Linked DNA regions of Sus scrofa. The protein of the gene in region 2 purifies or fractionates together with the protein of the main gene of each other region. This does not show direct contact. Links are inferred from orthologs where the notes say so. Each region holds a gene or a part of one and is shown on either strand. Other genes may lie near its edges.

What was found. Proteins that work in one complex are often made in the same cells at the same time.
Region 1: the proteins of CCND1 (region 2) and HDAC1 purify together in Homo sapiens (affinity purification with western blotting; 3 studies listed by BioGRID, with this or other methods). This does not show direct contact. The link is inferred for Sus scrofa from reciprocal best matches to the Homo sapiens genes CCND1 and HDAC1.
Region 3: the proteins of CCND1 (region 2) and SKP2 purify together in Homo sapiens (affinity purification with western blotting; 3 studies listed by BioGRID, with this or other methods). This does not show direct contact. The link is inferred for Sus scrofa from reciprocal best matches to the Homo sapiens genes CCND1 and SKP2.

Annotation. Positions count from the first base shown.
Region 1 is NC_010448.4:88,777,002-88,780,645, reverse strand, and holds part of HDAC1 (histone deacetylase 1), read right to left. Parts: intron 2,380-3,644; coding exon 2,241-2,379; intron 1,783-2,240; coding exon 1,641-1,782; intron 587-1,640; coding exon 494-586; intron 1-493. UniProt on the Homo sapiens protein: Histone deacetylase that catalyzes the deacetylation of lysine residues on the N-terminal part of the core histones (H2A, H2B, H3 and H4).
Region 2 is NC_010444.4:3,630,444-3,634,847, reverse strand, and holds the start of CCND1 (G1/S-specific cyclin-D1), read left to right. Parts: upstream 1-1,467; 5' UTR 1,468-1,714; coding exon 1,715-1,912; intron 1,913-3,484; coding exon 3,485-3,700; intron 3,701-4,243; coding exon 4,244-4,403; intron 4,404-4,404. UniProt on the Homo sapiens protein: Regulatory component of the cyclin D1-CDK4 (DC) complex that phosphorylates and inhibits members of the retinoblastoma (RB) protein family including RB1 and regulates the cell-cycle during G(1)/S transition.
Region 3 is NC_010458.4:21,497,661-21,501,304, reverse strand, and holds the end of SKP2 (S-phase kinase-associated protein 2), read right to left. Parts: intron 713-3,644; coding exon 499-712; 3' UTR 380-498; downstream 1-379. UniProt on the Homo sapiens protein: Substrate recognition component of a SCF (SKP1-CUL1-F-box protein) E3 ubiquitin-protein ligase complex which mediates the ubiquitination and subsequent proteasomal degradation of target proteins involved in cell cycle progression, signal transduction and transcription.

The sequences.
Region 1 (3,644 bases), on a different chromosome or scaffold from region 2:
CTGTGCTGCTGCTGGTGTGCTTCCCTCTGCTGAATGCCACCCTTCCCCTCCAGGCCCCACCCTCCTTCACCTGGGCAACTCATTTCTCAATGTCCACTCAAACATCACCACCCCTGTGAATACCCTTTCCTCAGCTCAGGAAGCAGTTTCTCTCTCACTCCTCTGTTCATCCCTCAAAAACAGCACTGACTACATGCTTCTGGGGATGTGCCTGCCTCCCATACCATAGACTGTGAGGTCTTCATGGGCATAGATCTTGTCTTAAATATTCCTGGATCCAACAGAGAGCCTGCTCCAGAGACGGCATCGATAACTATTTGGATGAATTCCGTTCCCCTGACTGGCCGTGCAGCATGCAGACAAGGGCTGAAACACATCTCACTTCCAACCAGCCTCTCAGCAGGGAGAGATTTCTGAAGTATGTTAGGGGGTTGCTACCCCTCCCTTAGATCAGTCCCATCTATAGCCCAGGGTGGTTGGGTAAGCCACTTACCGGCTTGAAAATGGCCTCATAGGACTCGTCATCAATCCCATCTCGGAGCGGGTAGTTAACAGCATAATACTTGCCTTTGCCAGCCCCAATATCCTAATCAAGAGGGACAGTAAAGTTAAAGTAAAACTCAAAGATGAAGCTAGAAGGAAGTTCAAGGATGGGGGCTGGAAGGCTAAGGAAGGAGGCAGTGGTTCTAAGAGAGAGACGCTGGGCCCATGAGGTGGGCCAGGGACAGAGCAGGTCAGTACCATTCCCCTCAAGGGCAAGTCTAGCTCACATCTCTGGACACACCACTGAGGCCATTTATGGGCCAGAGATTTGAATATCCTACCCCACAGCACAAGACCTCTCCCTTTGGACTGGATTAAAGGTGGCTGGGGGCTGGACCACAAAAAATAACACTCATCCCACAACAACCCTTCCCTTGCCAGGGAGCTTGCATGCTCACTCCTCTACCTCCCATTCTCTCGAGAAGGAAAGCAGAAAGGGAAGAATTCTTCAAAACTGTAAATGCTCAATTATTCAAAGGCCTGCCATTGCAAACAACTGAATTAGTGCCACTTTTTCACCCAAGGGCTACTGGTATTGCAAAGTGGCTGGTTTCATTGTATTCATGCTAATAGAAGCAGAACAGTTAAATGAATCAGCTTTGAAGGATTCTTATCCAGAGGTCCATGGATAGGTTTCACTAAGGGGAGGTGCTATAAACTATCTGCCATCAGATGTAAAATTTCATGTACTTTCCCAGGGAGACAGTACAGAGCTTTCAGTCAGATGATCAAAGGGAATGTTAAGAACCCCTGAGATGGTCCATAAAGGTCCCAATTCCTAGCTCATTGGATAGAACCTGAGGTTTCTTAGCCTGGAATTCAAGCTTTCTGGATATGTGAATAGTGTAATGCAACCCGGCTGGGGCCAGGAGGAAGTGCAATGAGTCAGGAGACCCCCATCCCTCCCAAAGCTTCATGTACCATCATTCCTTTCCTCCAGAATAAGAAAGGGAAAGAGATCATAGCAGGTGTCCCAAGCTAGGTTGTGATGTTCTGAACGGCAGAAGAGGCAGGAAGTGGTTTTTGGTGACATGAGATAGGAGACTTAGAGCTGGCAGCTGAGGGTGAGCTGGTTGGCCCCTAAAGGGAGTTCTCACCCGTAGGTCCCCAGTTCCTGGGAAGTACTCTCCATATTTATGAAAGGACACAGTCATGACTCGGTCTGTGGTATAGAAGGCCTCTTCCACGCCATCGCCGTGGTGAATATCAATGTCAATATACAGCACCCTCTGGTGATACCTAGGATCAGAAGGGGGTCAGGGGGTCTGGGGGCTCCTTGGGAGTGGGACGCGCCAAGGGCGCCAGGTCCCAGCTTACCGGGCTGGCTGCCTCCCTCAGGTATCTCTAAGCACCAGAGACGTAGAAACTGGCTGAAGGAAGGTGGAAGAGCGGCAGGGTGTCTCCAGAGGCCTGACCAAGGCGACCAAGTCCAATCTTCCTACTCTACAGCCAGGGTCAACTCCGGCCACACAGGGACACTCTGGAGGCAGGATCTGAGCAGCGCCTGCCCCTATCTTGCCGTGGGCTCAGATCAAATCAAGACCCCGTCAAGAAGAAGATGGCCAGAGACACTCACCGAACACATCCTAGCCAGCACACCGCTAGGAAAAGCAAACTAGGGAGGCAAGCCCAGGGGAGAGGGAAGTGGGAACCTGGCCTAAGGTGCTCCTCCAAGAGACAAGGCCAGGCAGGCATACTTTAGCAGTTCCAGGATGGCCAAGACGATATCATTGACGTAACAGAAGCCAGATGCCTCGGACTTCTTTGCATGGTGTAGGCCCCCAGCCCAGTTCACAGCGATGTCCGTCTGCTGCTTATTAAGTTTCACAGCACTTGCTGGGCGTGGGAAGAAAGATCACAAGACTGTTACCAAGCCAATCTCCCCCTTCCCCCCAGAAGCCAAGAGAGCCCAGTAAGAGGAAGACCTGCCTCTTCAGCTACACTGTACAATTCACCAGCCAGTCCTCTCCCCCTGCCCTATTCCAACAGGGAATAAACATGATACTGGCTACTCAAAAAACTGGTTTTGAAGTTCCTACTGAGGCACAGTGGGTTAAATGTGACTATAGTGGCTCAGGTCACTGCAGAGGCGTGGATTCAATCCCCAGCCTGGCGCAGTGGGTTAAAGAATCCTGCATTACTACAGCTGCCAGGACGAAGTTTCCTAGCCCAGGAATTTCCATATGCCGTGGAAGTGGCCATAAAAAATTAAAACAAACAAAAACAAACTATTCTGTTTGCTTGTTTTCTTTTTCGGCCTTAACCATGACATACGGAAGTTCCTAGGCCAAAGACGGATTCTTTTTTCAGTTTTTTTTTTTTTTTTTGGTCTTTCAAGGGCCACACCTATGGCATACAAAAGTTCCCAGGCTAGTGGCTGAATCAGAGCTACAGCTGCTGGCCTACACCACAGCCACAGAAACATGGGATCCAAGCTGAGTCTTCGACCTATACTGCAGCTCATGGCAACACCAGACCCTTAACCCACTGAGCGAGGCCAGGGATCTAACCCACGTCCTCATGGAAACTATCGAGTTTGTTACTGCTAAGCCATGACGGAAACTTCGGAATCTAGATTCTTATCTACTGCATCACAGCACGATCTCCTTAAAAAACTGTTTTCCAAAATGAAGGTGGTACAAAATGAAGCTACCACAAACTTACTAGTAGGCCTTAAAATTGGTTTAGTGGGTCGTGATTAATATATATTTTTCTTATGTTTTTATTTTTTGATAGGTAAGAAGTAGATTTATTTAGAGACAAAGTGTAGGCCATCTCAAGAGAGAGCGGCGCTGGGAGAAACACACTTCACAGAGAGTCTAGGCCATCTCAGACAGCAAGATGTAAGAGGGCGAGAGGAGTGTGTGTGTATATATATATATATATATATATAATTTTTTTTTTTGTCTTTTTGCCTTTTCTAGGGCTGCTCCAGTGGCATATGGAGGTTCCCAGGCTGGGGTCTAATCGGAGCTGTAGCCACTGGCCTACACCACAGCCACAGCAACGCGGGATCCAAGCCGCATCTACCACCCACATCACAGCTCACGGCAATGCCGGATCCTTAACCCACTGAGCAAGGCAAGGGGTCGAACCTGCAA
Region 2 (4,404 bases):
CTGGAATATTAGTAAACCCTAATTCTCGGCGGGGAGGGGGCGCGGGAAGAACCCTCCCTTGAAGGGGGGTTGGTATTGCGTGCGCCCTTGCGAAGGGGAGGGGGCTTTTTAATAAGTTTTCTTTGAGCCTTTAACCTTAGGGTGTATGGTGGTTTGATGACACCAAACTATACTGAGGGGAGTAAATGAACATTTTTCTTAATGGGGGTCAGGTAGTGTAAAAACTAAAAAAAATAAAAAGTGAAGTATGCGTAAAATGTTCTTTCAATTTAAAAATAAGCACCGAAGAAGAGCCTGAATCTTTAACTTTAAAAAACGTCATATATTCTTTGATATGTCTTAAAAGTTTGGAATAATATTGGGGACTCTTGTATAACCACGAAGATACATAGGTTTTGTTTAAAATCATCAGATCAATACAGCCATTTCTGTAACCTGTAATTGTTCTGCTCTTTGCCAGCCCCTGCCATCCCCGTCAGGCTCACGAATGCAGCCCCAGGGCAAATTCTAAAGGTGAAGAGAGGTCCACACCCCCAACAAAACCAATTAGGAAGCTTCCGGTGGTCTCGTCCCAGGCGGAGAGGGGACTAGTAGTTCCAGGGATTTAACTTCATTTTTAATTTTTAAAAATGAGGCAGGACAGAGACCAGTATTTTGCAGCCTTCCTTTCAGGGTGTTTTTCTAGCTGTTAAATTGCCAGGACAGGGCAAGGATGGGGGGATTGGGGAACCCCCGCAAGAAAGGACTGGCCAAGGTGGGAAGACAGCCTGCAGATCCCCCAGGCGCGGAGGACAGGATGAAGGAAACGCTGGCCACCATCTTGGGCTGCTGCTGGAATTTTCGGGCATTTATTTTATTTTATTTTTGAGCGAGCGCATGCTAGGCTGAAATATGCTTAACCATTAGGGTTCCTCCCTCGGGCATTGCAACGACCCCCCTGTGTGCCGGAATGAAGCCTCCACAAGGGTTGCCGGCTCTGCGTCCCTGAATGTTAAATGGTTCCTGAAATTTACACGTGTTGATGAAAATGAAAGAAGACACAGAAGCTAAGATTCCTAGGCTGCCTCTCCGCCCGTGGGTGCCCTCGTGGCGTTTTCGGAAATGCACCCATTCTCCTGGCTCGGGTAGAGGGTGTCACCGAACCCCAGAGTCCCCCTTCCATGCGGTCTTGCCCGGCTGCGTGTGGCCTGCCCGCCCTCCTAGTCGTCCCCCTCTGCAGAGCCACCTATACACAACCCCCCAAATCCTAAGGGGCCCACTCGGGGTGGACAGGACCCCCCTGCACCCCTCTTCCCCGCGGGGCGATTTGCGTTTCTATGAAAACCAAGTTTCGGGGGCAACTCCGCTTAGGGCAGGCGCGGCGCCTCCGGGATGGCTTTTGGGCTCTGCCCCTCGCCGCTCCCCGGCGCTCGGCGCCCGCGCCCCCTCCCCCTGAGCCCGCCCCCCCTCCCTCCCGCTCCCATTCTCTGCCCGGCTTTGATCTCTGCTTAACAACAGTAACGTCACACGGACTACAGGGGAGTTCTGTTGGAAGTTGCAAAGTCCTAGAGCCTCCAGAGGGCTGTCGGCGCAGTAGCAGCGAGCAGCAGCGTCCGCGCGCTCCGGCGAGGGGCAGAAGAGCTCGAGGGAGCACGGGGGCAGCAGGAGCTAAAGCCGAACGCGGACCCAGCCCGGGACCCACCGCCGCCCCAAGCCGCCTAGCAGAGCCCCAGCCATGGCACACCAGCTCCTGTGCTGCGAGATGGAGACCATCCGCCGGGCGTACCCCGATGCCAACCTCCTCAACGATCGGGTGCTGCGGGCCATGCTCAAGGCGGAGGAGACCTGCTCGCCCTCCGTGTCCTACTTCAAGTGCGTGCAGAAGGAAATCCTGCCTTCCATGCGGAAGATCGTGGCCACCTGGATGCTGGAGGTGCGGGGCTTCGGGCGGCTCTCTTAGCACTTTTCTGCGACTTGTTGCGCAAACCCACATTTCTTTGCCACTCATCTCCCTCCCTTCTCTCTCACCCCAACTTTGAAGTTTGCTGGAGTGTTGCTAGGAATCGTAATTCCAAAATATATAGATATTGTGGGTATTTTTTGAACGAGGAAGAAGTGGGGGTGGGGTCATTAGAAATTCCCTTCGTGGGGGGGGGGGTCGAAGACGTGTACCTTCGGGCAAAGCCACTGTCAAGGGCACCCCAGTTGGCTTCAGGGTGTGGGCCCGCAGGCTGGGCGCCCTTTGTAGCCCCCGCCTGGACCGCCACCGCGCAGCCCCCGCCTGCGCCCGAGCCCCGCTGCGCCTCCTCTCCCCGCCGCGCGGCCGCTGAATCTCCAGCTCCAGGGGGAGGGGGCATAGATTTGATTTTTAAATTAATATCCATGGACACGTATGCAAGGGCCACTCGTGCCAGTATTATGCGCCATCTTTGTTCTTTTATTGCAAAGCAAAAGTGTTTATTAATAATTGGGGGCAGGGTGGGGGCGGGGAGCGACCGGCGAGGCGCTTGGGGCCGCCGCGAGGGGCCGCGCGGCCACCGGGAACCGGCGGGAGGGGCGCGGGGACAGAACTCGGGCAGTTGTGCGGGGACCCCACTCGGGAAAGAGGGCCCCTTTGTTAAAGCAGCGAGTCCCGGGGCGCCCCGCAAGGCCAGCTTGGGCCGGAGAGCACGCCGGGCTGCAAGGTCGTGTGGCCCCCAAGACGCTGGGGGCTGACTCTCATCTGCAGGGGTCTCAACTTGGGGGACCTGTGTGGAGGGAGCCGGGGGCCCGGGGCACGTTTTCAGGCCTTCAGTGGGCTCCTACGGGCACCGCAAGTATTTTAAAATAATTTCTGAAAGTGCGGCGTGGTGCCCTTGCGAGAGGGAAACGGCGCCCGCGCCCAGGGGGAGGGGGGCTCCGAGTTCGAATTCCTGGGGCTCTCCCCTGAGCCTGCAGCGAGCTCTCGACCCCCGGCCCGGGTAAAGGACCGCCCGAGGGTCATTTTCAGGGGTTTTTTATGTACCCAGTTATTTTTTTTATATTTTTAAATATTTTTTGAAAAGATGACGTCTGGGGAAATGCGGCTCGGCGGCCTGGGACGCCACCTTTGTGTCTCGCAGGCGCTGCGAGCGCGGCGCCCAGCCCCACGGCCCGCCCCACGGCCCTGCACCCCATTTGGTGCCCACCCCAAGCTTGGAGGGTCCCGAGGCACCCACGCGGGCCGGGGTCTCGGGGACCCGCAGCCCGCGAGCGGCACACGCCGCCCAGCAGTGCCCGCTCCCGCTCCACTGTGCCAGCCTCCCGGGGACTTTCCCTTTCAGTTTCGTGGTGGGTGGGCATTAGGGACTCTCGGGGGAGGGGGCGCGTCGGCAGAAGCTCCTGCCGCCCCCTGCCCCGACCCTCCGCACGCTCGGGTACCCGAAGCCAACCCTGGCGGGAGCGGGGCGGGGGACGCCAAGTCTCCGCAGAGGGGGCCGGGCGCTCCCGGCGGCGGCGGCGGTCACGGCCCCCGGTGCCCCTGCAGGTCTGCGAGGAGCAGAAGTGCGAGGAGGAGGTCTTCCCGCTGGCCATGAACTACCTGGACCGCTTCCTGTCCCTGGAGCCCGTGAAAAAGAGCCGCCTGCAGCTGCTGGGAGCCACCTGCATGTTCGTGGCCTCGAAGATGAAGGAGACCATCCCCCTGACGGCCGAGAAGTTGTGCATCTACACCGACAACTCCATCCGGCCGGACGAGCTGCTGGTAACCCTGGGACCCCCACCGCCCCGGGACCCTCCGTTAGCCGCGGGACCCCGGGGGTGGGGGAGGTGCGGGGAGCAGGCAGTCCCGGCGGGCCGCTGACACACTCTCGGCCCCCGGAGAGGACGGCCACGCTGGTGGGGCCCCTCTCGCGGAGCGGGCGGGAGCGGGTGAGACCCTCGCCGCCCCGCATCCTGGCTGCCCCGCCTCACCCTTTCTGTCCGACTCCCCCCGCGTCTGCTTCCCTAAGGCCGCGAAAAGTGGGCGACGCGCGCCCTCTAGCGGCAGCCTCGCGGAGCCTGCGCCAACGTCCCGGGCTCGCGTTCCAGGTGTGGGCGGTCTTCTGGTCCCCACTCGAGGAAGGGTCGGCTTAATTAAACGCAGGAGCCTTTGCCGGCGACACCCTTCCTGTATAGATGTGGGGTCGCGCTTTGTCCCTCCAGGTCCCGGACCCTCCAACGCCCCCCAGTCCTTTCTCCCCGCCCCCTGTCCCACTGGGATCCATGCCTGCGCCTCTCTTTATGCCCGGTCCCCCCATTTCCCCAGCAAATGGAGCTGCTCCTGGTGAACAAACTCAAGTGGAACCTGGCGGCCATGACCCCGCACGACTTCATCGAGCACTTCCTCTCCAAAATGCCGGTGGCCGAGGAGAACAAACAGATCATCCGCAAACACGCGCAGACCTTCGTCGCCCTCTGTGCCACAGG
Region 3 (3,644 bases), on a different chromosome or scaffold from region 2:
ATGATTCTCATTCTGTTCAGCTTACAATACCAATAGCTTATTATTCTTGCAATCTACATCTTACAAAGCAGTACTGAAAAATTAAATAGAAGAACGTTCAGTTGCCAAACAGGCTATGAAAATAATTCGCCGGTGATGATTTTTAAGCATGATTCTAAATAAATTTAATAAGAAGGGCACTTGGAAGAGGTGGCTCAAATTTTGCTCTTTAAGCTCTCTTGAAATGATAGGCTCACTCTCCTAAAATTTTAAAAGGTCTACAACTTAGACTCTTACAACTTAAGACTCTTAGGGGTAGAGCAGTGATAAAAGCTTTCAGAGTCATTTTTTCAAAGCAACACTTTGTCTTTTTCTCTCTCGAATGGTTCGCTAATATACTTGGAGAAGGAAGGCAAGGGAAAACCAAGAATAAAAATAGCTGAGTTCTCCAGCAACTGGGCTTCCTGCCTACTTTCCCTGTTCAAAGAAAAGAGGAGACACCATCCTGCAACAGATACTTCATAGACAACTGGGCTTCTGCAGTGTCAGTCGGCATTTGATGCCCCATATCTCCTGGTTCTTTTTGTTGCCGATGGTTGGCCTGGCAATGGTGGTAAAATGGGAACAATTAATCTGTAGATGAGGAAGGGCTTCTTTTAACAGTTGAAGGGTACCGTCTGGCACGATTCCAAAGACTTGTAGTGTTTTTAGTGTGGGAATTTCTCCAAGTTCCCTGGAAAGGAAGAGAGACTTTCAGAGTAGCTGTATCTATGGTAACTGTGTTGCACTAGAGTTACATGACCTCGTTTTTACAATCTGTATCATATCTTATAAAAGGCAAACTGAAGACACAACTTGCAATCAATGATTTGGGAAAATAGCAAAGGTGAATCAACTCACAAGCATGGGCCATAGCTTGGGCCTTAGGAAACACGTAAGCGCATTTTTGTTGAATTTCTAACCACCTAAAAACTCAAAGTTTTATTTAAAATCCAACTACATTTCCTTCCTCTCCATTCTTTTTTTTTTTTTTTTTTTAATGACTGTACCAGCAGCACTCCTGAGCTGCCGCTGAGACCTATGTCACAGGTGCAGCAACACCTGATCCTTTAATCCACTGCACCCAGTGGGGGGATGAACTGGTGCTCTGCAGTGACCTGAGTCACAGCAGTCGGATTCTTAACCCACTGTGCCACAGCGGGAACTCCCCTTTCTCCAGTCTTGATTTATACTGACAAGTGTCACTGTGTTGTGGGGAGAAGCCAGCAAGCTAGTGATGGTAAAAGTAAATGCTGGAGTCACCAAAAGGTGCGTGCAACTTGAGGATGCGGACTTGACCTTTATTTGAACGAGGCCTGCCCTCTCAAAAGATGTGAGCAGAGTTGTTAACTTTTAAATACTGGTGAATACGCAACAGGTCCATTATATGCAATGAAACCTAACAGGGATTTGACAACAGTATTTTATTTTATTTTTTTAGGGCTGTACCCACAGAATATGGAGGTTCCCAGGCTAGGGGTTGAATGGGAACTATAGCTGCCGGCCTAAGCCATAGTCACAGCAACTCGGGATCCGAGCTGTGTCTGTGACCTACACTACAGCTCATGGAAACGCTGGATCCTTAGCCCACTGAGAGAGGCCAGGGATCGAACCTGTGTCCTCATGGCTGCCAGTCAGATTCGTTTCCGCTGAGCCACAACAGGAACTCCTGACAACAGTATTTTAGACAGGGTCATGTGTTGGGTGCAGACAGAGGAAATGGTCATTTTCTCTACGTTACCATTTCCCTCTGTCACATGTAACCCAGTCCTCCAAGGAGGTATATCACATTAGGGGAAATACAGTTCTGTCAACAGTGAGATTCTGGTTGACAAAAAAGGGAGCCTGTTTTCCCAAAATAAATACTTTCGGGTAATGATTCTTTTTTCTTAACCCAGATCTGTGTGCTTAGAAATTCACCTCTCTGATCTGTATTTACTCTAGGTTGGGACACATAGTACAAAGTCTCAGGAAAGGGAATATTTAATTTTGAATTTCAACAAAATCCCACTGCAGATCAATGAGCGGATCAATGACCTAGAATTAGAAGCATCCTTTATATTTTTTTTAAATTTTATTTTATATTTTTGGCCTTTGAGGGCCGCACCCACGGCATATGGAGGTTCCCAGGCTAGGGGTCAAATCGGAGCTGTAGCCACCGGCCTACACCACAGCCACAGCAATGCAGATCTGAGCTGTGCCTGCAACCTACACCATGCTCATGGCAACGCCAGATCCTTAACTCACTGAGCAAGGCCAGGGATCGAACCAGCAACCTCATGGTTACTAGTCGGGTTCATTAACCACTGAGCCATGACGGGAACTCCAGAAGCATCCTTTACATTTTCATACAGCCAGTAATAAAAAAGTTAAACCTTCCTTCTAATACTTCTCACCTCACCTCCAATCTTTCTTCCTTTCAGCTGAGCATGTGTATCAATGACCAAGGCATCTTTGTAAGCCTAGCTCAGAGCATGTCCTTCTCCTACTCAAAAGCCTTTGATGCTGGGAGTTCCCGTCATGGCTCAGTGGTTAACGAATCCAACTAGGAACTGTGAGGTTGTGGGTTTGATCCCTGGCCTTGCTCAGTGGGGTTCAGGATCTGGCGTTGCCGTGAGCTGTGCTGTAGGTTGCAGATGCGGCTTGGATCCCGAGTTGCTGTGGCTGTGGTATAGGCCAGATGCTACAGCTTCGATTGACCCCTAGCCTGAGAACCTCCATATGCCGCGGAAGCAGCACTAGAAAAGGCAAAAAAAAAAACCAAAAAGCCTTTGATGCTTCCCTCTGTTTACAGAATGCAAACCGTTCAGTTGACCTTAAGACCTTCCATGCTAAATCTGTTCTTCCCATCCTCTCACTTCCCCTCTTGGGGTATTTATTCTACATTCAACCAAGTGTCTTAAACATTATAGATGCTTAATATATATCTGCTGAGTATAAGAAAGAAGGGACATTTAGGAAGTCAAAGTAGTATTCAAACAAAATAAATGCTTGGTGTTCCTAAAGGGGGGTGGGGAGGGAGTGCACAGGAAGATCCACAGGTTGCAAAAGACCAAAAAAAAAAAAAAAAAATCAGCAAGAACAAATTGCTGTTATTCTCGAAAAAAGCTAATCTCTGGAACAGAAACAGGAGTATAAAGAAAGGTCAAAATGCATAGATGTTTATACCTATTATCACTTAAGAGGAGAGCAATCCTGCCCCAACCTTAAATCCTTCTCATGGGAAATCTGAGTATATGGGAACTTTGGAATAGCCAAGAGAATTCTGCTTCTGGGATCTCCAGAGAAGCCAAGCTGTTAAGGCATTTAGCAGCAGACAGTATTTCAAAGACGAAATGATAGGTGGGAGTGAGAAGAGGAGGGATGGCAGATGAAAGAAGAAGAAATGTTCCTGCAGCAGCACTGGGAAGGAGCCTTGGCGAGGAAGGAAATCCTCCCAGGCTCTTGGAAGACACTCAGGTGTTTGACGTGAGAAAGGAGTCAGCTGGGCACCACGGGCTGGTGGACCAATGATCAGTCCCAAGTCAAAAACCAGAAAAAGTCTTTGACATTTTAAGGAGACACCCCCTGCCCAAAAGCCTCTTGTATGGGTATCACCTACGACACAGCAGAACACTCTGAAAATA